Linked DNA regions of Macaca fascicularis. The protein of the gene in region 2 interacts with the protein of the main gene of each other region in a pairwise test. Links are inferred from orthologs where the notes say so. Each region holds a gene or a part of one and is shown on either strand. Other genes may lie near its edges. The genes, in order: RABAC1, SPG21, DTX3L and EFHC2.

Region 1 (7,640 bases), on a different chromosome or scaffold from region 2:
CCCTAATTCAGGGCCCATCTGCCAAAGGCCCCTTCTCTCAGGGACCCCATCTCTCACCATCTCTCATGATGTATCTGCCTCAGGCCCTCCTCTCCCACATTGCCCCTGTGTCCAGGCCCCATCTCCTGAAATTCCCTTATTCAAAGTCCCCCCCCGACCCTCCCACTCCTAGGGCCCCTCCTGCAATGTCCTTGCCCCTCAGACTCCACTGTCCCCCACCCCATCTCCCACCATGGCCCATGCTGTTCGATACCTCCAGGCCTCTGCCGCTATGTTCTCCGCTCAGAACAAAGACCAGTGGGTTTTGGAATGAAATTGCTTTCATTCAGTTCCTATAAGGAAACCCAATAGCTCTCATATCAAAAGTTAATCCTGGATCTCCCACAGCCGGCCATGGAAGAGGCAGCTGGAGCTCTGTCCCAATTCTATTCTCCAAGCTCTGTCTTTCCATGGAGGTTCTTCCAAGGGCTACCTCTGCTGCTCTGGCCCTTTGAATTCAGATGCTGCTCCCCTATTCCTGCTCGGGGGTAATCGTGCACTCCTCATTTGGCGTTTTGTTTTGAGATAGGGTCTCACTCTGTCGCCCAGGTTGAAGTGCAGTGGCACGCTCTTGGCTCACTGCAACCTCCGCCTCCTGGGTTCAAATGATTCTCCTGCCTCAGCCTCCCAAGTAGCTGGGATTACAGGCATGTGTATTTTTTTTAGTGGAGATGGGCTTTCGCCATGTTGGCCAGGCTGGTCTTGAACTCCTGACCTCAAGTGATCCGCCCGCCTGGGCCTCCCATAAGTGCTGGGATTACAGGTGTGAGACACCACACCCGGCCCCGCAGTCAAAGGAGTAGGATTTTCAAGTTTGAATCCTAGTTAGAAAACCTGATTCCAGGCCAGGTGCGATGGCTCACGCGTGTAATCCCAGCACTTTGGGAGGCTGAGGCTTAGGTGGGCGAATCACGAGGTCGGAGTTCAAGACCAGCCTGACCAACGTGATGAAACCCTGTCTCTACTGAAAATACAAAAATTAGCCAGGCATGGTGGCACGCACCTGTAATCCCAGCTACTTAGGAGGCCGAGGCAGGAGAATCGCTTGAACCCAGGAGGCGGAGGTTGCAATGAGCAGACATTGTGCCACTGCACTCCAGCTGGAACAACAGAGCGAAACTCCATCTCAAAAATGAAAAAGAAAACCCGATTCCACTAAAAGCCTGGGGGTGACAAAGAGGAAATAAATAGTAACTAGCCAATCTGATCTTCAAAGTGTAACTCTTCCATCTTCAGTGTGGGGCCCTTGCAAAGGGCTTCCCTGCCTATTGCACCACCAGCCCCTTGGACAGGGCCATCTTCCCCCCACCTCCTGGGAACGCCTTCCAGCAGGCTTCCAAGCACAAACCCTGAAGTGCCGTAGATCTTGGAAGACAAGACCTGGGCCTAAAAGAGTCACTTGGGGCCAGGCACAGTGGCTCATGCCTGTAATCCCAGCACATTGGGAGGCTGAGGTGGACGAATCCCAAGGTCAGGAGTTCGAGACCAACCTAGCCAACATGGTGAAACCCCGTCTTTACTAAAAATACAAAAAATTAGCTGGGCATAGTGGTGCACGCCTGTAATCCCAGCTAGTTGGGAGGCTGAGGCAGGAAAATCGCTTGAACTCAGGAGGCAGAGGTTGCAGTGAGCTGAGATTGTGCCATTGTACTCCAGCCTGGGCAACAAGAGTGAGACTCCATCCCAGAAAAACCCACAAAACTTCCCAACCTTTTCTCTTTCCCAATTTCACTCCCTCCTGTCCAAAGGTGTGTGTGTTTGCAGGTGGGGGGGGGGTGGTGGCGGTGCGGAGGTGTCCCTAGTCCCAACTCATTCATCTTTGGGACTCCACAAAGTGGGGCAGGGGGCAACCTCAGATACCCCTCCAGCAACCATGACCCACTCACTAGCCTCAATCTCTTGAGGAAGGAATCAATTCCCACAAACTCTCTAAATCTTTCTACTCAAAATGTGGTCCATGGACCAGCGGCATCAGCATCACCTGGGAACTCAGAAATGCGAATTATGGGCTCCACCCCAGACTTGCTGAATGAGAACATCTGGGGTGGGGCCCAGGAGTCTGTTTTAGCAAGCCCTCTAGTTGTTTTTTTATGCCCTCTAGAGTCAGAACGACAGCTCTGCACGGTCCCCATTGTGCCCTGCCTGGGAGAGTACACAACACCCTCTTCTGCCATTAGAGCTCCCATAACGCCCTCTTTCCTGACAGCGCACCTGCACCCTCCTGAAACTACAGGTCCCACAATGCCCAGAGGTGCGCGCCGTCACTTTCTGGGATTATATCTCCCAAGGTGTCTTGCGAGTCAGACCGCCATCATGGCGCCCACCCTCCCAGCCACCGTCAGGACTACAACTCCCACAATGATCGGCGGCAGAACTACAGTCCCCAGCTGCTCCCGAGCGGCGCCACGTCGACTCCGCTGGGTGGGGCCGGCCTCGGGCGGGGCCGGCGGGGTCTGCAGGGTACCGGGCTGGTTACAGCAGCTCTACCCCTCACGACGCAGACATGGCAGCCCAGAAGGACCAGCAGAAAGATGTCGAGGCGGAAGGGCTGAGCGCCACGTGAGCGAGCCGGCTCTAGGCCCTCGGACCCGAGGCCCGGGAGTCCGGGACCCTGGCCCCCTCCTCCCTCGAGTGCCCGGAGTCCCAGCCCCGAGACGCACAAGCGCTGGCCCCGGTCTCCTCTAATGGGACCCTGGCGTCTGGGCCCCTACCCCCCTCCCCGCCTGCGATTCAGTAATCTGGGGTCCCGGGAGGGAGTCCAAGCCCCCTTAAACCCCTTCTTTTGCGGGGGTCTGAGGCTCCATCCCGGTCCACCACTGACCCGGCCCCACCCCTCGCAGGACCCTGCTGCCGAAGCTGATTCCCTCCGGTGCAGGCCGGGAGTGGCTGGAGCGGCGCCGCGCGACTATCCGGCCGTGGGGCACCTTCGTGGACCAGCAGCGTTTCTCACGGCCCCGCAACCTGGGCGAGCTGTGCCAGCGCCTCGTACGCAACGTGGAGTACTACCAGAGCAACTATGTGTTCGTGTTCTTGGGCCTCATCCTGTACTGCGTGTGAGTGCATCCCGGGCCCTGCACCCGCACTAGCCCCGACCGGGTGGACCCCTCCTCTCACAGCTCAGGCCCCGCCCTTCAGCGCCCGGGCCCTCCTCTCACCACCCAGGCCCCCCTCCTACCGCCCAGGCCCCTCCCCTCACCGCCCAGGCCCCTCCTCTCACCGCCCAGGCCGGCCCCGCCCCCAAGGATTGGCTCTGCTAGACCTACTTTGTCACCAAAGGGCCAGGTCCCTACCCCACCATCACCCTGGCCAGGATGCAGTGTGACTGAATGTCACCTGGCCCTCCCTGGTCTCCAGAATGTAGCTTGCCTCCCGCCGGTGGAGAAGGCCAGGGCTCCCTGGCTGACCAGCCCCAGCTGCCTAACCGCTGCCTCCCTGCACTCCTCCTCCAGGGTGACGTCCCCTATGTTGCTGGTGGCTCTGGCTGTCTTTTTCGGCGCCTGTTACATTCTCTATCTGCGCACCTTGCAGTCCAAGCTTGTGCTTTTTGGTGAGAAACCCCCTGCCCAGATGAATCCTTGGTCCCTCGAATCTTGGTCTTTTGGAATGCAAACCTCAGACCCCAAATCCAAGTCCTTCAAAACCCAAGTCCGCCGAAGCCTAGATGTACACTAGATCTCCCAAACCTGATCCTTTAAAAATCTCAGACACAACCGATGCTCCCATCGAGTCTCAGCCCCCTCAAATTGCTATTCCTCAAACCTAGGCTCCACCTGGCTGCTGTGCCTTAAACCTACTCCTCTTCAAACCACATGACTCCTCCCCTCTCTCCTCCCCTTGCCGCTTTCTGCGGCAAGCATCAGCTGCAGGTGCCCACACTGGACACCAGGTGGCGAACTTACACTGGCCTAGATCTGTTCCCGTTTCTTTTCCTGCTTTCTGGGATGTGACCAGAAAGAACTTGGAACTTGGGGAAGCTGAGGAGTGTGTTTCATGTGGTTCCCAGACTAGTACCAAGGACCACTGGGAGAACAAAATGCCAGGGGAAATTCCCCCCAGGGGAAAATCAAGGTTTGGAGTGGGGTCAGGGAGTTGGGATTGGGCTGTCAGGTAGACCTGAAGGCCAGGCTCTTCAGGGGCCTGCAAGTTATGTGCATGACGGGCTTAGGGGGAGGGAGCGCCTGCAGCACAGGCACCAGAGCATGCAGACCCCATCCCTGAGACTTCTATGGGAAGCGTGAAGTTGGTATTTTTATGTGAAATCATTCACTTTGCCAGCCACAAATCACATCCTTGTAAAACATCTCAAAACAAACACACATCCACAGGTCAGATTTGGCCTTTGGGCCACCAGTTTGAGACCCCTGGTCTGCGTGAGGGTTGCAGCAGGAGAGCCCTAGTCTAGGGAGCAGGAAGCTGGGATCCCAGGAACTTCCTGGAGGATGTGGGGCAGAGGGCAGAGCGTGGGGCTGAGGCAGGCGAGGACGGTGTGCTGTGTTCTGGAGGGCAGTGAGGACACCAGGGGAGCAGGGTGACCCCAGGACCTGGAGGGCCTTGGCATGAGGAGTTTGGATTTGATCCCGAGGACCTGAAGCTTATACAGATTGTTGGGGGGCAGCAGGGGTTACTCTGGGAGAGGGCATGAAGGGTCGGAACAGCGCCCCAATGCCATCTGCTTTCAGGCCGAGAGGTGAGCCCAGCGCATCAGTACGCTCTGGCTGGAGGCATCTCCTTCCCCTTCTTCTGGCTGGCTGGTGCGGGCTCGGCCGTCTTCTGGGTGCTGGGTGAGTACAGGGTCTGAGCAGCTGGGGTGGATGGTGGGGGCCAGGTACAGGAGCATGGCCCTGAGCTGCCGGCTTTCCTGCAGGAGCCACCCTGGTGGTCATCGGCTCCCATGCTGCCTTCCACCAGATTGAGGCTGTGGACGGGGAGGAGCTGCAGATGGAACCCGTGTGAGGTGTCTTCTGGGACCTGCCAGCCTCCCGGGCCAGCTGCCCCGCCCCTGCCTACTCCTTCCTGCACAGCTCTGCTGCTCGGGCCCATAGCGCCGTCCCATCACAAGCCCGGGGAGGGATCCCGCCTTTGAAAATAAAGCTGTTACGGGTGTCATTCAGGAAATACTCCCCTAGCATCTTCTGTGGGTCTCTATGGGTGCAGCTGGGAATACTGTGCAGATCAGGGTTGGGGTGGAACCTGGGGTGTGGGCAAGATGATAAGGTAAACAGGTAAAATATTAATGGGATGCCCAATGGTGGTGAGTGCTGAGGAGGAGAAAAGAGTTGAGAAGGACAGTGTGCCGGGGGTCCCCGAGACCACCCCCGGGTTTGATGGTTCTCTAGGACTCGGGAATCAGAGAGCACCCCAGGTTTGATGGTTCTCTAGGACTTGGGAATCAGAGAGCACCCCAGGTTTGATGGTTCTCTAGGACTTGGGAATCAGAGCACCCCAGGTTTGATGGTTTTCTAGGACTCGGGAATCAGAGAGCACCCCAGGTTTGATGGTTCTCTAGGACTCGGGAATCAGAGCACCCCAGGTTTGATGGTTCTCTAGGACTCGGGAATCAGAGCACCCCAGGTTTGATGGTTCTCTAGGACTCGGGAATCAGAGAGCACCCCAGGTTTGATGGTTCTCTAGGACTTGGGAATCAGAGCACCCCAGGTTTGATGGTTCTCTAGGACTTGGGAATCAGAGCACCCCAGGTTTGATGGTTCTCTAGGACTTGGGAATCAGAGCACCCCAGGTTTGATGGTTCTCTAGGACTTGGGAATCAGAGCACCCCAGGTTTGATGGTTCTCTAGGACTTGGGAATCAGAGCACCCCAGGTTTGATGGTTCTCTAGGACTTGGGAATCAGAGAGCACCCCAGGTTTGATGGTTCTCTAGGACTTGGGAATCAGAGCACCCCAGGTTTGATGGTTCTCTAGGACTTGGGAATCAGTATGCAATTGCACTGATAGCTCTGATTTACTCTCATCAAAGGATATGGAGCCAAGTCAGCCAAAAGAAAAGGTACATGGAGTGAACTCAGGAAACCAGGCATGCACTTCCAGAGGCCACACCTGATTCCTCCAGCAGTGGATCATGGTGACATGTGTGAAATGTCAGCCAGGGATACTCTGATCCTAGCCTCGGCGCCCTCGGTTTCATGGGGGCAGCTACAAGAGCACCTTTTCTCCAACACATACCAAAATGCCAGGCTCCCAGAAGGAAGGCCTGGGCCTGCACAAACAGCCTAGATAGACACAGCGAGCCACTCTATCAGGAAGTGATAAGACCCCTCCTGACACCCAAGTTCCCAGCCAAGGACCAGCTGTGCACCCAGGCCTGTCTAAAGACAGCAGTCTGGGGTAGAACCTGCCAGGTTAACTCTTTTCTGCACAGAGAAAGTTCTGGAGTGAGTTGCAAGTTAAAGAGGGTGACCAGAAAAGGCCTCCCTGATGTGACATTCACCAAAGACCTAAATTGAGAGAGGGAGCAGCCCAGATCCTTTGGAGGAAGAATAATTGGGGCAGAGGAAGCCACAGGGGCATAGCCCAGGAGATGGCAGCAGCCGGGAGGCTCAAGGGCAGCCAGGAGGTGGGTGTGGCTGGGGCAGATAAGCGAGAGGGACAGAGGGGGAGGCCAGGGAGCCTTGTGGGCCATGGTGAGGGCTCTGGGTTTACTCTGCATAAGATGAAAGACATACAGTTTGCTTTTGTGAGACGGGTTTTGCTTTGTTTCCCAGGCTGGTCTCAAATTCCTGGGCTCAAGTGATTCTCCCCCTGCAGCCTCCCAAAGTTCTGGGAGTACTGGTGTGAGCCACTATGTTCAGCCCAGTTTGCTTCTTGCCTTTTCTTTTTTGAGACAGAGTCTCACTTTATGGCCCAGGATGGAGTGCAGTGGCGTGACCACCACTCACTGCAACATCTACCTCTTGGGCTCAAGTGATCCTCCTGCCTCAGCCTCCTGAGCAGCTGGGACCACAGGTGCACGCCACCACGCCCAGCTAATTTTTTAAAAAGTTTTCGTTAGACAAGAGTCACTAAGTTGCCTGGCCTGGTTTCAAACTCCTGGGCTGAAGCAATCCTCCTGCCTCAGCCTCTCAAAGTGCTGGGATTACAGGCATGAGCCACCATGCTGGGTCCAGTTTGCCTTTCATCATGAGGTGAAGACTGCCACGTGGTAGCAGTAACAAAAGAGAAACACACTTGGGAGGGAAAGTGCCAGGCAGATGAATACAAGGGAGGTGGCTGAGAGGGCCTGAGAAGTGATTTTATTTTTTATTTTTATTTATTTTTTTGAGATGGAGTCTGTCTGTGTCTCCCAGGCTGGAGTACAATGGCACAATCTCGGCTCACTGTAACCTCCACCTCCCAGATTCAAGCTGTTCTGCCTCAGTCTCCCGAGTAGCTGGGATTACAGGTGCCCACCAACAGGCCTGGCTAATTTTTGCATTTTTATGTTTTAATTTTTTTGAGATGGAGTTTCGCTCTTGTTGCCCAGGCTGGAGTGCAATGGTGCGATCTCGGCTCACTGCAACCTCCGCCTCCTGGGTTCAAGTGATTCTCCTGCCTCAGCCTCCCGAGTAGCTGGGATTACAGGCGCCCACCACCGCGACTGGCTAAT
Region 2 (7,137 bases):
AAAAACTTAGGACTCAAACAGTGGCATTTCTCGTTTGCTCAAGCGCTGCTCCTTATTCAAAATATGTAAAAATAAGCTCTCACTTTTTACGAAACTTCATAATTCACATTTTATCTAACAGACCAAATTAAAAGAGTATAAAAAGTAAGCACATTCTAATGATATTATGTGAGTAACAATTTCAATTCCCATCAATTTCCTTTCTAAACAGCTGAAAAAGTCTGGGGTTTAAGGATGAATATACCAGAACCCATCCCAGTAAAGAAATATGGTTTTCTCTTAAATCTAATTTCATTCAGAATTATAGCTCAGGAGAGATGGAAACAAAATTTGTTCTAAGGAGAGCTCCCTCTCTTTTTGGTAGCATTTCTTTAAGGGGGTATTCAGTAAAGTTGTTCCTCTTCTTTTAAATGACTTAGTTACTCTATTTCATTTATTGTACTTTGGGGTGTTTGTTTCTTGAGACAGTCTCCTCTGTTGCCCAGGCTGGAGGGCAGTGGCGCGATCTCGACTCATTCCACCTCTGCCTCCCGGGTTTGAGTGATTCTCCTACCTCAGCCTCCTGAGTAGCTGAGATTACAGATGTCCACCACCATACCCAGCTGATTTTTGTATTTTTAGTACAGACACAGTTTTGCCATGTTGGCCAAGCTAGTCTCAAACTCCTGACCTCAAGTGATCCACCTGCCTTGGCCTCCCAAAGTGTTAGAATTACAGGCACGAGCCACTACACCCAGCTTGTTTTTGAGATAGGGTCTCTCTCTCTCACCCAGGCTGGAGTGCATTGGCACAATTGTAAGCTCACTGCAGCCACAACCTCCTGGGCGCAAGCGATGCTCCCACCTCAGCCCCCCAGTAGCTGGAATCACAGGCATGCACCACCATGCCTGGCTAATTTTTATATATATATTTTTTGTAGAAATGGGGTTTTGCCATGTTGCCCAGGCTGGTCTTGAACTCCTGGGCTCAAGCGATTTGCCTGCCTCAAGCGATTTGACTGCCTCAGCTTCCCAAAGTGCTGGGATTACGGGTGTGAGCCAACAGAAGTACCATGCCAGGCTATTGTACTTCTGTTTGTGAAAAAGAAGTATGGTACTTGACTATATGTAGCCTGTCTATTAATGCTGGCAATGATGAGGAAAAAGAAGTACAAGTCACAAACTCATTTCTAAGGGACTCAGGTTTGTCCCCTAAGAATTCCTTTTTTTGTTGTTTGAGATGGAGTCTCACTCTGTCACCCATGCTGGAGTGCAGTGGTACGATCTCAGCTCACTGCAACCTCTGCCTCCTGGGTTCAAGCGATTCTCCTGCCTCAGTCTCTCAAGTAGCTGGGACTACAGGCGTGTGCCACCATGCCCAACTAATTTTCTTTCTTTTTTGCATTTTTAGTAGAGACGGGGGGTTTCACTGTGTTAGCCAGGATGGTCTCGATCTCCTGACCTCGTGATCCACCCACCTCGGCCTCCCGAAGTGTTGGGATTACAGGCGTAAGCCACCGTGCCTGGTCAAGAATTCCTTTTTTATGTACATATAAAACCCACTGGCTGGGCGCAGTGGCTCATGCTTGTAATCCCACCGCTTTGGGAGGCTGAGGCAGGGGAATCACTTGAGGTCAGGAGTTTGAGACCAGCCTGGGGAACATGGTGAAACCCCATCTCTACCAAAAAAATACAAAAATTATCCAGGCATGGTGGCAGGCAGCTGTAATCCCAGCTACTGGGGAAGCTGAGGCATGAGAATTGCTTGAGCCTGGGAGGTGGAGGTTGCATGAGCTGAGATCATACTACTGCACTCTAGCTGGAGCGACAGAGCGAGTCTCCATCACCAAAAAACAAAAACAAAAACAAAAACAAATCCCAAAAAACCTCGTCTAACAGGCTTATTGTTTAAGCACTTAGGTTCATTTTGTTACTGATGAATCACTGGAATGGATACTGCCAAATGAATTATGGGATCATTTTAGATTTGATGTATGACTTTTATTATTAAAATTCTATTTGTGGGTAAAACTTCCACCATGCCAAGAAAGAATGGGGAACCGATTCTCCCTAGCAGAAAGTTTGAGAATTTGAGTCAGATGATAGCCTAAAAGAAAGGGGATGATATTTTCATGGAGTCTTTAATTTATAAATATCTGTGCCCACACAGGTGACAAAATTATACACAACTTAATACATACAAACAAATGTGTTCAAGCAGAACTGGAGAAACCTGAATGAGATTGGTAGATTGTAGTAATATCAATATCCTGGTTGTGATATTGTACTACAGTTTTGCAAAGGTTTGGCGGAAACTGAGGAAATGTGTAAAAAGGATATTTCTCTGAACTATTTTTTACACTGCATGTGAATCTACAATTACAACAAAAAAAAATTTAAAAAGGTCTGTGCATTATAACTGCTAGATACTAACAAATATCAAATAAATTCCACAACCTCATGGAGCTGAACATTCTGATCAAGACGCTGTTGACCTTTTCTTGATTAACTATCCTCCTAACGAAACAGGGAAAGCCCACATCGAGAACCTTGAGGGCAAAGAAGAAACATCCAGCCAGAAGCCAAGGCTCTCATGATCTGCCACTGTGGAGCGAGAAACGCTGTTGGACAGCACTCCCAAGTGGGACGGGCACCTGCAGGCTGCTTGGCTCCCCCTCCCTGGCTGATCAACAGGGGCCACCAAAAATGGTAGTGTCATGTCTCAGGCTGCAGAGGGCTTGGATGAGGGCAGTTCCTACCCTGTTCTAGAATGCTGTTTGTGAAGAGGAATGACTGAAAGTCTGAACAAAGGAGGATTATGTTGCAGAGGCTCAAACATGTCATGTGACGAATGGTTAAAGAAGCTGGAGAAATTAAGCCAGAGAAGAAAAGACCCAGGAGAAAAGCAGCAGGTGGTGGTGATGATAACTGTTTTCTCAAGTAAGAGATGGGCTCTCAGGAGGAAGAGGAACTGATTTCTTTTGTGTGGCCTCAGTTGGTGGTAACCTCAGTAGAACTTTCAGTTACCTTCCAAGAGAAGACATGTGACATGCTTTTTCACCCCTTCAACAGTAAATAACACACACACTAACAGCAGCACTCCCACCGGGAGTACCACTTACAAGTGAATACTGCAGGCGACTGCCAGCTAAAAAGGCTGTCTCCTTCCTGGGAAATTAGGAGACCAACGTCCTGACCAACCTGTGTCGTTACAGTGGAAGCATGCAAAAAAAAAAAAAAAGAAAAAAGAAAAATCAGTCACCAGGAAGAGTGCCTTTCCCACACACTTTTCTCCCAGAGAAGACTCAAGAATGATCAGTGGGAAACTGGATTTAGACCAAACTCGGCTATAAAGTACTAATCATAAACAAAAAACTTCCTAACCAAATGCTAACATATGAGCTAATTAATGAATCTCACCTCAAATATCAAAGATTTACACGAAAAGCCAGCTTTTCAGTCACTTGTGTGTTAGCTAATCCCTTTGTTGTCTAATATTCCATGCTCAGCAACCCTGGAAGCAGTGCTGTGATAAAACGAGGAGCAGAAACAGAGCCAGGAGACAGAGCTCAGTTCCTCCCTCCACCACTTACTGGCTGTGTGAGCCAGACCTCAGTTTCTTCATCTGTAAACAAGGACAACACTTCCAACCACTCCGAGTTGAGAGAAGGGCGTCAGGAGAGAATGCACGTAAACGCTGGGCATGGAGAGGCTGCCAATAGAGGTTTGTTCCTTCTGAATCTCTGTGTGACTGTGGACTCACACCAGCCTCCTTCAAAAGGCTTCATCTCACATATTAAAATAGGCAAACAATATCTTTCCTCAATTAAAAAAAACTGCCCGGCCGGGCGCAGTGGCTCATGGCTGGAATCTCAGCACTTTGTAAGGCTGAGGCAGGTGAATCATGAGGTCAGGAGTTCGAGACCAGCCTGGCCAACATGGCGAAACCCCGTCTCTACTAAAAATACAAAAAATTAGCTGGGCATAGTGGCGGGCACCTGTAATCCCAGCTACTCAGGAGGCTGAGGCAGGAGAATTGCTTGAACCTGGGAGACGGAGGTTGCAGTGAGCTGAGATCACGCCACTGCACTCCAGCCCTAGGTGACAGAGTGAGACTCCGTCTCAACAAACAAACAAACAAACAAACTGTGCCTATTACTATAGCTGATCAGAGACAGAAGCACACACACACACACACACACACACACACACACACAAACCCACAAAACGTCGGTCTACATTTTAATACTGAATCAGTAATACTTACAGCGATAACCCGGTAACCCCATCCAGTCAGAGCCAAAATCTGCCGGAAAAAGACATCTGCAGTTCCACTGACAGGGGGCAGGAATATGAGAGGACACCTGATACTTCGGGGGCCTGCATCATAGAGCGACCATATCTTACTGTCATCATCATCTACGATAATCTGGAGGGAAATTTAAAAGAAAAAAGTGGAAAATCTTATAAATTCACTTTTTATGTTATTTTACACTATCATTTCACTGACAATTTTAACACTACTGCCTTGTTTGTTACAAGGTAACCTGAAGCTCACACCAGATTAGCATGCATGACAGACTCCTCTAGTCTCCTTTTCTTTCCTCAGGGCTAACATATTCCACAGAACTACTTAGAACTACTTTATAATCTTCCAGAGGGCTGCTGCTTCTCTGTTTCTTCCCCCCCACCCTTTTTCTTTTTTTGAGACAGAGTCTCGCTCTGTCGCCCAGGTTAGAGTGCAGCAGCGTGATCTCGGCTCACCGCAACCTCCACCTCCCAGGTTCAAGCGATTCTTGTGCCTTAGCCTCCAATGTAGTTGGGATTATAGGCATGTGCCACCACACCCAGCTAATTTTTGTATTTCTATTAGAGACAGGGTTTTGCCACGTTGGCCAGGATGGTCTCGAACTTCTGACCTCAGGTGATCTGCCTGCATCAGCCTCCCAAAGTGCTAAGATTACCGGCATGAGCCACCACACCTGGCTGCTTCTCTCAGTTTCTACCTTTCCCGTCCATCCACAACAATAGGAAGAAATCTATTTTGCTTAACATTAAACAGTGAACTCTATACAAGACATCTTATTTCTTCCCACATTTCTGGTTGTGTGTGTGTTTAAGAATGTGTCTGTACAAGGAGGGCAGTCTGCAGTCATTCTGCAGTGCTGACCCAGAGGACTGGCTGGGATGTGCAGGGTCAGAGTATGAACAGGGGAGCTGATGGGGAGACAAGGCTCCTAGCTCGTGTCTCTATCCACCTGGATAGGTGGGTAGAGATAGCACCAGCTCAGGAGATGCTTCAGGAGCCTCTCTAAACCAAGCCTTTGGGGAGTTGTGGGGGAGACTCTGCTACAGAAGGGGAACGAGGCAGGTCTATGTGTCACTCTCCTGGGAGAATACATCAAACCAGTAGGGGTTAGGGAGTGGCACAGAGAGAAACTGGCTTTTTGGTGAAAAGTGGGTAGGAAGGAGGAAGGTAATCAGAAACCTTCCTGATGGAGTGGTTCTTGACCCAACATGACGGGGAAATAATGAGCACTGGAAGAGCTGAGGGGGCCGGGCATGGTGGCTCACGCCTATAATCTTAGCACTTTGGGAGGTCAAGGCAGGTAGATTACCTGAGGTCAGGAGTTTGCGACCAGCCTGGCCAACATGGTGAAACCTTGTCTCTACTAAAAATATAGACATTAGCTGGGTATGGTGGCACATGCCTTTAATCCCAGCTACTGGGGAAGCTGAGGCAAAAGAATTGCTTGAAACTGGGAGGCGGAGGTTGCAGTGAGCTGAGATCGGGCTCCAGCCTGGACAACAGAGCAAGACTCTGTCTTAAAAAAAAAAAAAAAAAGGAAGAAAGAAAACAATGTGCTGAGGGCCAGGCGTGATGGCTCACGCCTGTAATCTCAGTGTTTTGGGAGGCAAAAGGCAGGACTGCTTGAGGCCAGGAGTTTGAGACCAACCTGGGCAACATAGTGAGATCCCCATCTCTACAAAAAATGAAAAAATTAACCAGGTGCGATGGTACACACCTATAGTCCCAGCTACTTGAGAGGCTGAGACACAACAATCGCTTGAGCCCAGGAGTTCAAGGCTGCATTGAGCTATATGATCGCACAACACTCCAGCCCAAGCACCAGAGGGAGATCCTGTCTCTCTCTCTTTTTTTCTTTTTTTTTTTTTTGAGATGGAGTCTCACTCTGTAGCCCAGGCTGGAGTGCAGCGGCACGATCTCGGCTCACTGCAACCTCTGCCTCCCAGGTTCAAGCAATTCTCCTGCCTCAGCCTCCCAAGTAGCTGAGATTACAGGCACGTGCTCCCATGCCCAGCTAATTTTTTGTACTTTTAGTTGAGATGGGGTTTCACCATATTGGTTAGGCTGGTCTTGAACTCCTGACCTCATGATCCACCTGCCTTGGCCTCCCAAAGTGCTGGGATTACAGGCATGAGCCACTGCACCCAGCCCAGATCCTGTCTCTTTAAAATAAATAAATAAATAAATAAATAAATAAAAATACAACAACACTCCAGCCTGAGCAACAGAGGGAGAGATCCTCTCTCTTTAAAAAAAAAAGAAAAAGGAGGCCGGGCGCGGTGGCTCAAGCCTGTAATCCCAGCACTTTGGGAGGCCGAGACGGGTGGATCATGAGGTCAGGAGATCGAGACCATCCTGGCTAACACGGTGAAACCCCATCTCTACTAAAAATACAAAAAAAAAATTAGCCGGGCGCGGTGGCGGGCGCCTCTAGTCCCAGCTACTCGGGAGGCTGAGGCGGGAGAATGGCGTGAACCCGGGAGGCGGAGCTTGCAGTGAGCCGAGATCGCGCCACTGCACTCCAGCCTGGGCGACAGAGCGAGACTCCGTCTCAAAAAAAAAAAAAAAAAAAAAAAAAAACAAAGACAAAGGAAAGAAAAAAAGGCAAGCTGAGGCAAGTCAAGTGCTCAGCAGAGTCTGGCAAATGTTAAGTGTCCTAGAAGTATTAGTTATTATTATTCACTGCATCCTAGTTTAATTTTTGTTTTCTCTGACTTTTGGTGGTATTTAGAAAAGTACATTAACTGCTTGAACATTTGACAATGCAAATCAGTATTTGTTCTACTTTTATATTAAAAAACTCAAGGCCTCCAGGCTCTGTTTTCTGAGAGCTCCTCACTAGCAGGGCTA
Region 3 (7,894 bases), on a different chromosome or scaffold from region 2:
CGTCTTTGCAATAGAAAAATTTTGTACAACCATCTACAGCATCAGATCCCGATCTTTACTCATCAAGGGAAAGTAGCAGGTCTAGTACAATCCTTTGCATCCTAAAATGCAAAGACAAGATGCATTTTTTTTGCCTCCAGAGGGCACTGCTGTTTTCAAAAAAGAAGGATGACTTCATCTGCTTTGACCATGAGCTTTTGCTTTAAATGTTGCACCTGTTTCTGTCTTCAGGCCAGGTTTTACAGGCCTATGGATAGCCAAACAAGGAGCATAGTGCTCTAAGCATTCCACCTCTTCCATATTAAAAACAGCATAACCACAAAAGCCTTCCTAACTTTCCATCACTGGTTCCTACTGTGTTTCCTTCTCTTCATAAGCAGTTAAACTTCTGGAATGAGTAATGGACTCTCCTGTCCACCTGCCCACTCAGCCTACTATAACCTGGCTCCCTGTCTCATTCCCAGCACCCTTTAGAAACTGCCAGTGGCCAGGCACGGCGGCTCACACTTGTGATCCCAGCACTTTGGGAGGCAGAGGCAGGCGGATTGCTTGAGCTCAGGAGTTCAAGACTAACCTGGGCAACATGGCAAGACCTCATCTCTACTAAAAACACAAAAAGTTAGCTGCACATGTTGGCACATGCCTATAGTCCCAGCTACTTGGGAGGCTGAGATGGGAGGATCACTTGGTGGGAAGCTAAGGCTGCAGTGAGCTGTGATCATGCCACTGCACTCCAACCTGGGCAACAGGAATGAGACCCTGTCTCAAAGAAAAAAGGAGAGAAACTGCTCATCAGAATCCCCCATGTGGTTAATGCCAATGGATTATCTTCTATCCATCTTTACTGGACCACTTTCTATAGTATTTCACTCTTTCATTCCTGAAATCCTGCTTTCTTGGCTTCTCCTATGCCATCTTCCCTTGGTTCTTTTATTACCCTTCACTTTACCTTTACAGGCCTTTTCCCTGCGTTCACTTCCACCATACCCCTCTTAATTGTTTGCTCCAGGATTCTGTCTAAGGCATTTTTCATCTCATTCTACATGCTCTGCAGGAGTGAACTCATCCACTCCCGCGGCGTCAACTCACCAACTGCAAATATGACTCTAATATCTGCAGTTCTAGGCCATGGCTCTCCTGAGCCCCATTTTTCAACTCCACCTGGAGGTCTCACAGTCCCCTCAAATAAGCCTCTGCATATCTCCTGGTCTCCAATCCTCCATCCCACCCCCACCAAATCCATACTTTATCTCCTGGATTCTGCAGCTCAGTAAATGATAATACCATTTATGCACTCAAATCAGAAATCTAGCAACTTTCCCTCAGTCTTTTTTGTCTCATATCTGGGACCTGACAACCTAAATCACTTTCAAATATGCCCCTACCTTCCTCACCCACTGACACTGCTTCACCTCAGGGTCTCAGCACCTTTTGCCTGAGCTGTGGCAATATACTCTTTTCTTTTCTTTTCTTTTCTTTCCTTTCCTTTCCTTTCTTTTTGTTTCTTTCTTTTTCTTTTCTTTTCTTTTTTTTTTTTTTTTTTTTTTTTAAGACAGAGTCTCACTTTGTGGCCCAGGCTGTGGCGTGATCTTGGCTCACTGCAAGCTCCACCTCCCGGGTTCATGCCATTCTCCTGCCTCAGTCTCCTGAGTAGCTGGGACTACAGGTGCCCCCCACCACGTCCAGCTAATTTTTTTTTTTTTTTTGTATTTTTTTAGTAGAGCTGGGGTTTCACTGTGTTAGTCAGGATGGTCTCGATCTCCTGACCTCGTGATCCACCTGCCTCAGCCTCCCAAAGTGCTGGGATTACAGGCATGAGCCTCCACGCCCAGCCAGCAATATACTCTTTTCAAAGATTTAAATGTACCTGATTTGACATTTTATTGTTTGAATAGGTATTACATTTACGATGTATAAGAAAATGTAAAAGGTTTCCTCCTATCTCCCCTACTAAATTCCCTGTCCAGAGTGCTTCTCCTGTATTCTTCCAGTGGCATTTTTTACACAAAAGGTAGTAGCTTATATACACCCTTCTGCATCTTATGTTTCTCACGTAATGTATCCTAGAGATCTTATCATATTAGCACATAGAGAGCTTCTTCATTTTTCCCACTGCCCATTGTATTCCATTGTATAGATATATTATTATTATTAAACTGCTGGTCCCCCTATTTATGGACATTAAAGAGTTACCTATCTTTTGCCATTGTAAACAAGGCTGTAAAGAACATCTTTGTACACAGGTCACTTCACACAGGGGCTAATATAGCAATGGGACAAATCCCTAGAAATGGAACTCCAGAATCAAAAAGCATATGCTGTTGTAATTCTGACAGTACTGCCAAATTGCTCACAGTGAAGACTGACCCATTTCCAGTCTTACCAGCCATGTGCAAAAACCTTATCTCTGTCCTCTCTGCCGCCAGTCATCCCTGCTTGTAAATGTGTCTTCCACACCATTGTCAGCACCATATTTCTAAAATGCATATCTGGCAAGTCATTTTCTTGCTTTCCCTGCTTACAACCCTTCAAGTCATATTTACTGCTCTTCAAAGCTTTTCACCATCTAAATATGTGCTGTCCAGGGTGGACTATCAGCCTCACGTAGCTACTGAGGCTACATGTGGCCAGTCTGAATCGAGATGTGATGTAAGTGTAAGAAAAACACTGGGTTGCAAAGATGCAGTATGATAAAAAGAATGTAAAAAGCTCATTATGTGCTGAAATGATTAAGTTTTGGATATGTCAAGTTAAATAACATCATTACAATTAATTTCATCCGTTTCTTTATCCTTTAAAAAATATGGCTGCAAAAATTTTAGAATGAACATACTGGCTCACATTGTATCTCTGTTGGACAGTGCCCATCTAGGTAGGCCCTCCCTCCCTCATCCCCTCACCCATCTCCTCTCCTCCCAGGCCCCAGGCCCACTCTGTGCTTCAGACCATAGTGGTCCCTAAGCCTTAGGTGCTTTTCCCCCCAACCCTGTCCTCCCCATCTCGTCGCCACACTCAGTTTATTAAGATGCTGCTTGAAACTTCTCCTTGGAGGCCTTGAAGAAGTTTTGCTCCCTGGTTCACAGGTCCGCCTCCCCTCACCAGCCCTTGACATCAGGGCCTTGCTCTGCTCTTTGGGCAGCAAGAAACAATTCAGTGCTGTTGGTTAAATCAAGCAATGGAGGAGAAAAGCCCCCAGGAGCCTGTCTAAAGGGTAGAGTTGGAGGGAGGGAAGGGGTAACAGGTCACAATTACCAGATGAACACATTCAAATTTTCAAAAATGGGTAAGTTTAACATGGATTCAGATGTGAATTACTTTTTAGCATCAAATAATAGTGATAACAGCAGTAAGAGTTACAAAGAATAAGAAACACAGGAGAAACTTACTTTCTTTGCATAGTCTACTCATAAGGGAGGCCTGGCCCTGGGATCCTGGTCCGCGCCCGCCCCCACTCTCCGCCCCCCCCGTACCCCGAGCCTGCAGGAAAGGGGACCCCGAGGGCCCAGGGGCACCGGACCTACCCACCCGGCAGACCACTCGCCTCGGTGCAGACAGCACAGGGAAGAGGGGGAAGCAGCTCTGCTGGGAACAGGGAGGGACCTCCGGGGAAGCGAAACTGAAACTTTGCGCCTAGTCGGCGGGGCGGGCCGCGCCTTTACCCCAGTCCCGGCCCAGCGGCGTCCCGGAGCCCCCGCGCCCTCCCGACGCGCAGAGCCATGGCCTCCGACCTGCGCCCGCCGTCCCCGCTCCTCGTGCGGGTGTCCGGGTCCGGCCTCCGGGTACAACGGAAGCTGGAGAGCTACTTCCAGAGCTCTAAGTCCTCGGGCGGCGGAGAGTGCACGGTCAGGCCCCAGGAACACGAAGCCCCGGGCACCTTCCGGGTGGAGTTCAGTGAAAGGGCAGGTGAGCTTCGGGCGGTCGGGCTGCGAAAGCCGAAAGCCGTCTCTGGGGCCCCGACTCCCGGGTTTCCAGGCGGACCCAGTTCCAGCTGACCTAGGGGAGAGGGCGGAAGAAAGTATGCCACTGTGCGGTGGCGGACAGGGACGGGGCCCTGCTGCCAAGAGACTCACTGAGACAGGGAACACTCGGTGGAGGATAGGGCCTCACATGTGCCCGGTGCGGATCCGGCTAACCCCGCCTTAGTGTGGATGTTTTCCATATCCTCATTCTAACTTAATTTCTCAGCTGTCATCTTCCATCCTCCAGATGCCTGTCAGCTGCCGTCCTTGTCATTCAGGGATTCCACTTTTATGTTTTAAATAATGGTTCCATTGTTCCATCCATTAACAAAAGGATGTTCCATTTTGTATTTTTGAGGATTACAAAAGTGATATATGCTCACTATAGAAATAAGAGAAAAGAGTAAAAAAGAAAACAACCTGGAGATAAACAATGTGTCCATTTGGTGTATTTTCTTCCTGCCCTTTTTTACGAATGCCAGCAAACACACGTGTATTTACACAATTCGGAGTCTGCACTTTTGATACTTGCTGCTGTAACTTACCTGTATAATGAGTATTGAAATGGGAGACCAGGATGGGTGTGGTGGCTCACGCCTATAATCCTAGCACTTTGGAGGCCGAGGTTGGTGGATCACTTGAGGCCAGGAGTTCAAGACCAGGCTGGCCAACATGGCGAAATTCCGTCTCTACTAAGAATACAAAAATACCTGAGCGTGGTGGTGCGCACCTGTAATCCAAGCTACTCCGGAGGCTGAGGCAGGAGAATCGCTTGAACTCGGGAGGCAGAGAGTTGCAGTGGGACGAGGTCGCACCATTGCACTCCAGCCTGGGTGACAGAGTGAGACTCCGTCTCAAAAAACAAAACAAAACAAAAAAACAAAAAGGGAGGGAGGGAAATAAAGAAGGAAGGAAGAAAGGGGAGACTGGAGACAGTTTCAGAAACATGACGTTTAATGAGTGGACAATGTTCCATTGTCGTTAAGCTTTCACTTCTGTAGTAAAACTTAATCCGCACACTTCAGAACTCTTAATAGCTCCCCAATTTCCTCCATCGCCAACCCACCATTCCGGGGTGCAGTGAGCAGCCTTACTGGGAGGTGCTGGGGCAGGGTACAGACACAGGAATGACAGGATTACTTGAAATCTCTCCCATTTTTATGTATGTATATGTGTGTGTTTAATGTTTCTGCTGAAGCTAAGGAGAGAGTGTTGAAAAAAGGAGAACACCAAATGCTTGTTGACAACGAACCTGTGCCCATTTTCCTGGTACCCACTGAAAATTCAATAAAGAAGAACATGAGACCTCAAATTTCTTCACTGACACAGTCACAAGCAGAAACACCGTCTAGTGATACGCATCAACATGAAGGACATATTCCTAATGCTGTGGATTCCTGTCTCGAAAAGGTGAGTATTGAAAGAAGGAGCTGGCTGTACCTGCGCCTCCTCTCCAGTCACCAGCCTCATGTATTATTGATCCAACACCCATGTGCTGGGCACATACATGGGAGCCAGGCACTGTTTTAGGCACTGGACACAGAGACGAACACAACAGACAAGGTCCCTGCTCTCAGGCGGCTCATATTGGGGCCCAGGGCATGCACAGAAAGACAGTAGGCAAGTGAAATAATTAGAACCATTTTATTTATTTGGAGAGAAACAGGGCTAGGGCGAGCAAAGGGAAGATGGGGGTGGTGTTATTTCTTTTTTCCCCCAACAAGACAGAGTCTCACTTTATCACCTAGGCTGGAGTACAGTGGCATAATCATGGCTCACTGCAGCGTTGACCTCCTGGGCTCGAGCGATCCTCTCACCTCAGCCTCCTGAGTAGCTAGGACTACAGGCGCCACTACACCCAGCCAATTTTTTTTTTTTTTTTTGGTAGAAACGGAGTCTCACTATGTTGCCCAGGCTGTTCTCAAACTCCTGGGCTCAAGCGATCTGCCCGCCTTGGCCTCCCAAAGTGCTGGGATTACAGTCATGAATTACTGCGCCTAGCCTGGTTCTACTTCTAACCAGAAATCAGAGACAACTTGACTGAGGAGGTGACGTTTGGCCTGCAACTTGAATGATGACAAGATTCATTCAACAATAGATATCCACTGCTTAATGTGTTCCAGGCACTGTTATAGGAGCTGGGGAGGCAGCCAGGAACATGGCAGACTCTGCTTCTGGGGATGGCACCTTCTAGTGAGAGAAACAGACAATATTAATAAACAAATAGATATATAATAAAATGTCTGCCAGTCATACCTGCTAGAAAGAAGAATAAGAAGAATACGTGACAGACAATGACAGAACCACCATTTAAAATAGGATGTCTGGAAAAACCTCAAGTGAGATGACATCTCTAGCCAAGTGGATTTCTGGGGGGAAAATGTCCTAGAGGGAAGCATAGGTACAAAGGCCCCAAGAGCTGACATTCTGAGGCCCAGAAGCTTGAAGGAAGCCAGTGTGGTGGGAGGGCAGTGAGCAAGGGAGAGAGGTGCTAGGAACTCGGGAAGGTACACAGAAGACAGGCCTTTGGGGCTGAAGATAAGGATTTTGGATTTTTAACTTAAAATGTTAGGGAATTCATCAGATAGTTTTGAGCCAGGGGAGAGACGATCTGGTTTATATTTCTAAACGGTCACTCTGGCTGCTGTTGGAAAACTGAACATAGGAAGGGGCTAGAATGGAGAATTAGAACCCAGTTAGGAGGGGTTGCAATGCGCCAGGTGAAAGATGAGAATGGCATGGACTTTGGGTGGCCTTGATGGAGGTGTGAAAAATGGCTGGATTCAGGAAACATTTTGAAGATCTGGAGGAAGGATTTACATGCAAAGTCCTTGAGAAGGAACAAAACATTAGAAATTTTGCTTTTATATTACATTTAATTGGCCTCTGTCCTTTTTATCTTAACCTGGCACGTCTTATATTTGAGCTTCTAAAGGCCAGGGTTTAGAAGGGACCGACAACTTCGCATGCAGTCAGGTGTTAAAAAGAAAAAAGGAGGAGGAGTGAAGAAGAGAAAAAACAGTCATAGGAAAGCCATTTTCCTCAGCTTTATGGCTCCCTTCCAAGTTCACAGACATTTGTGAGGGCCATGACAACTCGCCCAGAGAGCACAGTGCCTTCCCTTGACTGCTGTTCCCAAGATCAAACAGATAGTGGCAGTTGTAGAACACAGATCTCTTGGCCATGGAGCTTTCAGAAATGCTCATGCCCAGGCTCCACTGCAGACTAGTTAACATTAGAATCTCTGGGGATGTGCTTGGGCTTTGGCTGGTTTATTTTTCCCTGAACTTGCCAGGTGAGTCTTATATGCAGACAGGGTTGAGAACCTCTGGGATGTAGCATGCTGTATCCTCTAAAAAGGATTTGAGGCCGGGCACAGTGGCTCTCGCCTGTAATCCCAGCACTTTGGGAGGCCGAGGCAGGCGGATCACCTGAGGTTGGGAGTTCCAGGCCAGCCTGACCAACATGGAGAAACCTTGTCTCTTCTAAAAATACAAAATTAGCCAGGCATGGCGGCGCATGCCTGTAATCCCAGCTACTCGGGAGGCTGAGGCAGGAGAATCTCTTGAACCCAGGAGGCGGAGGTTGCGGTGAGCCGAGATCATGCCATTGCACTTCAGCCTGGGTAACAAGAGCGAAACTCCATCTCTAAATAAATAAATAAATAAATAAATAAATAGGATATGAAAGAAGTTGCCCCCTGCTTGGGGAAGATGTAGATGTAGTGGTTGTTTCTCTAGTCTCTATGCATTCTCCTGAAGAGAAGATGGTAGGTCTGCATGCTGAGAGGTTTTATTTGTTCCTGTTCCTTTTAAAATTTCAGATCTTTCTTACTGTAACAGCTGACCTGAACTGTAACCTGTTCTCCAAAGAGCAGAGGGCATACATAACCACACTGTGCCCTAGTATCAGAAAAATGGAAGGTCACGATGGAA
Region 4 (7,137 bases), on a different chromosome or scaffold from region 2:
AAGTGAGGAGTTAAGATGACTCAAAATTTGGGCTTGAGCAACTAGAAGGGTGGAGTTGCCATCCACTGAGATGAGAAAGACTGGAGATGGGATAGGTTTAGGGACAAGAGTAGAAGTTCAGTTTTAGAATGAGTTAAGTTTGGGATGTCTATTAGATATCAAGTGGCAATACCAAGTAGGCAATTGAATACATGTGTGAGTATAGGGTTCAGAAGATAGGTGGACATGGATACCATCAGCATGTAGATGGTATTTAAAGCCATGATACCAAATGGTATTAAAGCCTTGAGATTGCATGAGATCACCAAGGGAGTGAATATACATAGAGCGGAGCATGACCAAGGAATAAACTCTGAAACATCCCCAATTAGGAACTTGGGGAAAAAAGGAGGAACCAACAAAGGAGACTAAAAAGGAGCAAACAAGGAGGTAGGAGCAAAACCAAGAGAATGCTGGATCCCGGAAGCCAGTGAAGCAAGAGTAACACTGAAGGAGTGATCATTTGTGCCGGTTGCTGCTGATTGGTTAAGTTAGATAGGCACAAAAAATTAAGCATTGGAATTGGCATTGTGGAGATCATTGTTGACCTCTACAAGAGCAGTTTAGGTAGAGCAAACCTAATGGAAATGGATTCGAGAGAAAATGGGAGAAGAATTTGACATAATGATTTTAGATAACTCCGAGCTGTACGTAGAAAAAGTTAAGCCATGGCTTCTGGACCTAGGAATTTATAATTTGTTTGGGGACAACGGGAACAAACACATTTTTAAAACAACCATCCAAGAGTACAAGTCTATATAGAGCTAATTTGGGTGTGATCTTACAATTGATGCAGGAGGTATAAGTAGGTGGTCAGCTGGAGTATTGTGATAAAAAAGAATATTCTGGGAAGTTTGAGAAGTAGTTATTAGGGAAATATCTGAAGACACTTGCAGTGCTTCTCAAAGTATGCCCAGGTGACCACCTTATCAGAATCTTCTGGGGTGCTTATTAATAATGCAGGTTTCTGGAGATGTGAGCTAGCTACTGAATCCCCCCATATCTCTGGGGATGGGACTCTGGATTCTGTATATTTAACAAGCTCCCCAGGTGATTTTTATATACAATAAACTTTGTGAACTGCTAGTCTGAAAATTTTATTGAGTAGATTATATTCTTGATTGATGAGATCTCCAGAACACTAGATTTAGGTAAAAAAAAAAAAAAAAGGCATATTGAATGTGTGAAGAACCCACACTTAACATATACACTTATAAATTATAAGAAGTTAAATTTACAGTAATATTTCTTTTCCTGAAGTTAGACCTATCCTGTTTCAGTGATATTTCGGGTATCTGAAATGTTATGGCTTTTTTGTGTGAGAGGGGCTACCAAATCTATTTGTTACTTACAAACCCAATTATGTACCAGCGAAGATGGTTGACAAGGCATAGCTTCTCCCCGCGCCCCACGCACTATATGAGGTCTGTCTGAAGCCTGGGAACTCGGTACTGAGAAAACAGCCATGCAGACCTGGCTGCTTTGCTCAGGCTGTTTTGGGGTGAGCTTTCCAAACTGCTGCATACCATCTCACATGGGGCCTCAAGCCTAGGAATCTTGGTGCCATCCTTTCTTAGCCATCATTCTTGTACAGCCCGAGAAAGGGGCAGAGAAAAGCACTTTTGCCTCTGCAAGTCAGAAATACTTGTTTTATTTTTCTAATCACTGTGGACACAAGGAAAGAATGATCTTCAGCCTAGGAGACCCTGCAAGGGAAGACTTCTGTGCATAGAGTTGTGACAGAGGACATGGTTTATTATCCTGTGTATCTCCCTGGGGTAATGATTTTAGTTATCAAAGACCTCTCCAAGGGTTTACTGTTTGTTACAAAGTCCACCTTTCACTAGCTGATATCCGCAGACATGCTTCTGCTGACAGATCAGAAATCAGTTTCTTCAGTGACCAGGCAATCAACTTTGGTAACTTTTAATTCTGTAATTTCATCCTATCTTTATCTATGCATAAAATTCTGAGTGCAAATTCCAATCAATACAGATCTCATAACAATTTTCCATAAACATTTATTGAATACTTATAATGTAAAAAGTATTATATTAGATAATGGTTAATAAGACAGTCTTTGTCCTTGGAAAACAGACTTGTAATGGCTTACAATATGAGTGATAAGCGCTATTAAAAAAAAAAAAAAAAGGTGGGTCCATCCTATGTGTTATAGCATTTGAAAAGGAAAAGTTAATTTGTCTCTTGAAGAAAGTTGGGGGGATGCTGGGGAGCTGGAGGAGTGAGTCAGAGAGGGGAGGATGTGGGCTGGAAAACAGAAAAGCAAAGGGCATGAGACAGTGAGTGGTGAATGGGGGAGGTAGCCTCAGATACTGGCAGAGCCCAGGATTGCCCACGCAGTAGGGCTAGGTGCTTGCTCTTCTTTCCAGCATGATTATTGTGATTGGTGACTAGCCTCGTCATTAGAGAACAGCCAGTTAGCGCAGCTGGTTTGAGCAGTGTGTTTATGACGTTTGTTTTGGGTTCATTTTCCCAATGTGTTACCCAGGACATGTGAAGAATGAGAGATATCTTAATATACTGAGAAAATTCCTCTGCATTTAGATTTAGAACCTTAATTAGAAGACGGTTGAACTCTTTCACTTTGGACAGTTTATGCCTACTCTATTAAAGCCATATTATACCTTTTGCAGACTTTTAAAGACATAATATGTGGAAGATTACCTGTATAATGCTGTAACTCTCATTTCTGTTCCATTTAGCTATGGCTTCAAAAGCAATATACTCCGTTTTTTTGCAAAACTAGTCACAGACAAATGTGTTGACTTGGACAGGATGTTTGTTATTTCATATTATCTCAGTGATGACACCATTTCAGTGTTTGAACCTATAGAGAGGAATTCAGGTAAGAGATATCCTTCTCACAGTATTTTCTTGAGAATGTTTTAAGTGTCTCTTCATGTTGAAAATTAGGGAACATGATCTGGTTTTGTAGCCTAGATTATCTACAATAGAGGCTTTATTTAAAAAAAAAAAAAAAAACCCGAACAATAGAGTTCTTTTTACAAATCTCTTAAATGGGAACCTAAACATTTAAAATGATAGAAGTGAAACAGTTTTGGTTGGCTTAGGGCCAGGGGACCTGGAGTTACTTCCTTTTTGCCACTATCCCCACTTCCACTGTGACTTCTGAGGCACCTCTGTGGAACCCAAGGGCTTCAAATTCATGGTCTGGGTACCACTAGTTTTACTTGTAGCCAGCAAGCCAAGAGGAAGTCTGCATTCTTGATAGTCCTACTTACAAAATTTTTGTTTGGCTGTAAGACAAGAATCCCAGATACACAAATTCAATCGTCAGGGTCCATCTTTATCTGGTCCTTCTGTCTGTTGAGGTTGTTGCCAAGGTTCCCGCACTCAGACCCATAGAATGCCTCTCTGCAATATGCTGGTACCACCGTCACTGCTGAGGAGAGCCATTGACTTACCCAATCATGGCACTGTAGGACCCTGTTCTTTGTCTCAACACGTTTAGAACTTTTATCTGTGCTGAAGACATGCATTTGGGAAGAATAATCAGTGATGTGCTGGTTAAGTGGCTCTTTGAAAAGATTTTAAAAGCCCTGATTTGTACTGTTTGCCAGTTTCCATGGTGTGAATACCCCAACCATGGCCAATTTCAAGCAGCCAAGAGTTTAAAAACTGGCTTGCAAAATCTCTGAAAATTCGACTCTCAGCTCCTATGAGCTGATATGAGCTACTTAGCACAGCGATGAGTAATGAATAACTTGTATAACTAAGGCTCCACAGTGATTTGAATAATGGATCAAATCTTAAAATATGAAATTGCATAGGGATGAATATAAGTCATGCTCTTACAGGTCAAAAATCAACTCTGTACACTTAGAATGGGGGAGATGTGGCCAAACAAGTTGCAGCATGTGTGAAACAGAAAGCAGTGATGATAGTCAGCAGCAAGCTTACTAGTAATCACAGTGGCCATGATGGAGAACTTACTATTATCCTTACAAGGACTTTATGAGGTTAGATTTTGTGTTAGTCCAGCTCCTCCGAGAAGCAACTACCAAGACAGGATTAAATGTGCAAGAGATTTAATAGGGGGAATGCTGGTGAGGGAAAATGTGGAAGGAGCCAGAAGAGGCTGGGAGAGCTGTCAGACTATAGTGCAGTTCTGACACCTGTGAAGCTCAGAGGGAAGGAAGAAAGAGGGAGTCTTAGACTGCAGTGAAATTCTAAGAAAATTTCGACAAGGTCGACAGGGAGTCCTTGAGGCAAAGTTGCTAGTTGGAGGAGTCCTTGTTTTGTAGGAGTGAGCCTGTCTTACTATCCCTGCCTTGGTCACTCATCTATTGGTAGCAGCCCGTGGGAAGAGTGACCTCAACACACACCTGAAGATTGATTTAAGAACACAACAGCTGGGGCCTTCCATCAGTTATGTTCTTCGCTATAGGCGACCTGAGAAGTACATTTTCTGGACCTCCACACATCTGATTCCCATTGTACCAATAAGAATTCAGAGAGATTAAATAACTCCTAAAGATCACCCAGCAAGTAAGTGACAGAACTCGGAAGCCTGTGTCTTTTTACCACCTATCATTTCTGAATGTGGTAGGAGAAGGGGGATGAAGTGGCCCAAAAGCTTATCTGGTCTCAGGCTATATTTATAGGTCTGTAGATTTCAGTTCAGTATCAGAAGATGCTGGAGTTCCCTGTTCAACTCTACTGGCTACTTTCCAAGAGGTCACAACAAATAATGTCTAGAAGAGAACAGATGAAATGGTGACAGCTCTGGAAACTAATATGAAGCGTTACTAAAAGAAGCAAAGGGATTTTACCTGTAGGAAAAAATGACTTAAGGGGACTCCCATAGTTACCTTTAAACACTTAAGTAATCTCCTTTACAGAAGTAGGGCATTTGCTACTTAATCTGCATGTCAGATTAAATATAAGACATCATCTGGGACAAATAGGTGGAAATATGCACAAGTGAGGAATTTTCTAACTGGTACTGTTCAAACATGCTCTAAAGATGAGTATCTTCCTGATGTTCCACACTCCCAGTATGCTGCTGGGCATATATAGGAGGTCCCTGCCAAGTGCTTATTGGACTGGGAAGAGAGTAGAGAGAGAGAAAAAAAGGCTAGAATTACACATCATTTTCTCTCTCTCTCTCTTTTTTTTTTTTTTTTGAGATGGAATCTTGCTATGCTGCTCAGGCTGGTCTTGTACTCCTGGCCTCAAGCGATCCTCGTGCCTCAGCGTCTTGCGTTGCTGGGACTGCAGGCACATGCCACCATGCCCGGCTTTGCTTTTTGTCTTGAACACCCTTGCCTAGGAATTCTTACTCCTTCACTCACTGCCTCATTCTTCCCTTAAGTCCAAAACAATAGGCAATATTAGTTCACAGGTAACTTATATGGTGGTCTGTGCTTGAAGATAAAGTAACTCTGAAGGCAAGTCAGATGGTTCTTTTAAGAATAAAGGCTGCTCATGAACTTTTCTATTTTTCTATAGGAATTACCGGTGGGATGTTCTTGAAAAGAAGTCGCGTTAAGAAGCCTGGACAAGAAGTCTTTAAAAGTGAACTATCTGAATATATCAAGGCTGAGGACCTGTACATTGGAGTCACAGTGAATGTGAATGGTTACCTATTTCGTTTGCTCAATGCTGATGAGTATACCTTAAACTACATGGAGCAGAATACAGATAAGGTGAATTTACTTTGTGTAATTCTTCACTTGCCTCTCAGCCCTCCGCAGTCTGTGTTTTTCTTTCTCTAGGGCCTTTTCTTCTTCATCTTGCCACCAGTTTTACATTGTGCATTCATACATGTGGGCATGAATAATGGATTCGTGTGACTTGGCCACATGTCCCATCACAGAGGCCAGGTTCTTGTCTACTCTGTTTACATGCTGGGTTCTCCTCTGCCCAGCATCACAGATTCCAGGCACAGGCAGGAGGCAGGGCCAGCGTTGAATCAAGTTTCCTGGGTTTTTTGCTGACACTAACAATGTTTTCAGAAAGAAATTCAACTACTATAGGAAAGGAAGAAAAATCTGGTGCCACACACTGTGCCGTCCCAGTTAATTGGCACAGGCCAACAGAGAAGGCCAAGACCTGAACAAACAGAAACCTCAAGGGAACTGAATAGTTGCTGGAGTTGCAACTTCCCATAACAGTGGCCACCTGAGGCCTAAATAAGGATTTCAGGATAAACTGGCGACAGTGAGCTCAAAGAGTTTTTTTTTTTTTTTTTCAAATAAGATGGCAGATGGGTACTGTTACTGCAGGTGCCATTATGGCAATGCTGTTCAGTAAAAATAACATATTGATAAAATCTGGATTTTAAATGTGGGCTAGTTCAGTGTACAAACATGTTTATTTGGGAATCATTGCCTAATATGGAAAAATCTATCTGGAAAATTTTATTTTAAAAGTTTACCTATAAGTGATAATATTTATGTAGCATTTATATACATACAGTGCCAATTTTGTCTCATTTATATATAAAATGCCTGGGGTTAAGTTGCTAAGATCAGTGTCTCTGGGTACATCACATCATTCATATCAGTTTGGGTCCTCTGAGAAGCAGACGCCAAGACAGAATGAGAAGTGTGAGAGATGTCGTGGGGGAAATTTCTGAGAAGGATAAAGGGGGAGGGGGACAGGAGCGGGCAGGGGGGCCTTCAGACCAGGAGACAGGTTGAACCCCTGTGGAAGGAGAGAGAAAGGAAGGAGGGGTGGGTAGGGAAAGCCTCAGCTGACAGCGCAGCTCTGAGAATGTCTCACTTTCTCAGTGAAGGGGAGCCCCAGAGCACAGACTGCCCATCAGAGAGGTCCCCTGTCAGGCAGGAATGGCCTGGCTCTAGTTCCCCTGCTGTGCTGTGTCATTGGGTGGGAACAGCCTGGGGAGAGGGTGGCCCCAGCAGCGACATTGCCTGTGAACTCTGTGTGAATCTGGAAGATATGGCAGCTGGAGTCTGTCAGGCAATGATGCTCTTCTCCACAGGGTCTCTCTTGACAGGAGGCCTGCAAAGCGCCCTCCATGGCTGCCACACCATCTCTCCATTTATAGTCTTAGGGATGCAGGTTATCATAAAACCATGAACCAGGAGCTAT

What was found.
Region 1: the proteins of SPG21 (region 2) and RABAC1 interact in binary tests that used the Homo sapiens proteins (3 or more experiments, as listed by UniProt). The two-hybrid records come from large-scale screens. The link is inferred for Macaca fascicularis from reciprocal best matches to the Homo sapiens genes SPG21 and RABAC1.
Region 3: the proteins of SPG21 (region 2) and DTX3L interact in binary tests that used the Homo sapiens proteins (3 or more experiments, as listed by UniProt). The two-hybrid records come from large-scale screens. The link is inferred for Macaca fascicularis from reciprocal best matches to the Homo sapiens genes SPG21 and DTX3L.
Region 4: the proteins of SPG21 (region 2) and EFHC2 interact in binary tests that used the Homo sapiens proteins (3 or more experiments, as listed by UniProt). The two-hybrid records come from large-scale screens. The link is inferred for Macaca fascicularis from reciprocal best matches to the Homo sapiens genes SPG21 and EFHC2.

Annotation. Positions count from the first base shown.
Region 1 is NC_088393.1:48,996,234-49,003,873, reverse strand, and holds RABAC1 (prenylated Rab acceptor protein 1), read left to right. Parts: upstream 1-2,458; 5' UTR 2,459-2,542; coding exon 2,543-2,598; intron 2,599-2,879; coding exon 2,880-3,092; intron 3,093-3,488; coding exon 3,489-3,586; intron 3,587-4,718; coding exon 4,719-4,820; intron 4,821-4,903; coding exon 4,904-4,992; 3' UTR 4,993-5,154; downstream 5,155-7,640. UniProt on the Homo sapiens protein: General Rab protein regulator required for vesicle formation from the Golgi complex. May control vesicle docking and fusion by mediating the action of Rab GTPases to the SNARE complexes.
Region 2 is NC_088381.1:41,565,983-41,573,119, forward strand, and holds part of SPG21 (maspardin), read right to left. Parts: intron 4,408-7,137; coding exon 4,246-4,407; intron 1-4,245. UniProt on the Homo sapiens protein: May play a role as a negative regulatory factor in CD4-dependent T-cell activation.
Region 3 is NC_088376.1:160,681,858-160,689,751, reverse strand, and holds the start of DTX3L (E3 ubiquitin-protein ligase DTX3L), read left to right. Parts: upstream 1-3,662; 5' UTR 3,663-3,716; coding exon 3,717-3,903; exon of another isoform or gene 3,904-4,083; intron 4,084-5,157; coding exon 5,158-5,369; intron 5,370-7,782; coding exon 7,783-7,894.
Region 4 is NC_088395.1:44,292,922-44,300,058, reverse strand, and holds part of EFHC2 (EF-hand domain-containing family member C2), read left to right. Parts: intron 1-2,762; coding exon 2,763-2,905; intron 2,906-5,532; coding exon 5,533-5,729; intron 5,730-7,137. UniProt on the Homo sapiens protein: Microtubule inner protein (MIP) part of the dynein-decorated doublet microtubules (DMTs) in cilia axoneme, which is required for motile cilia beating.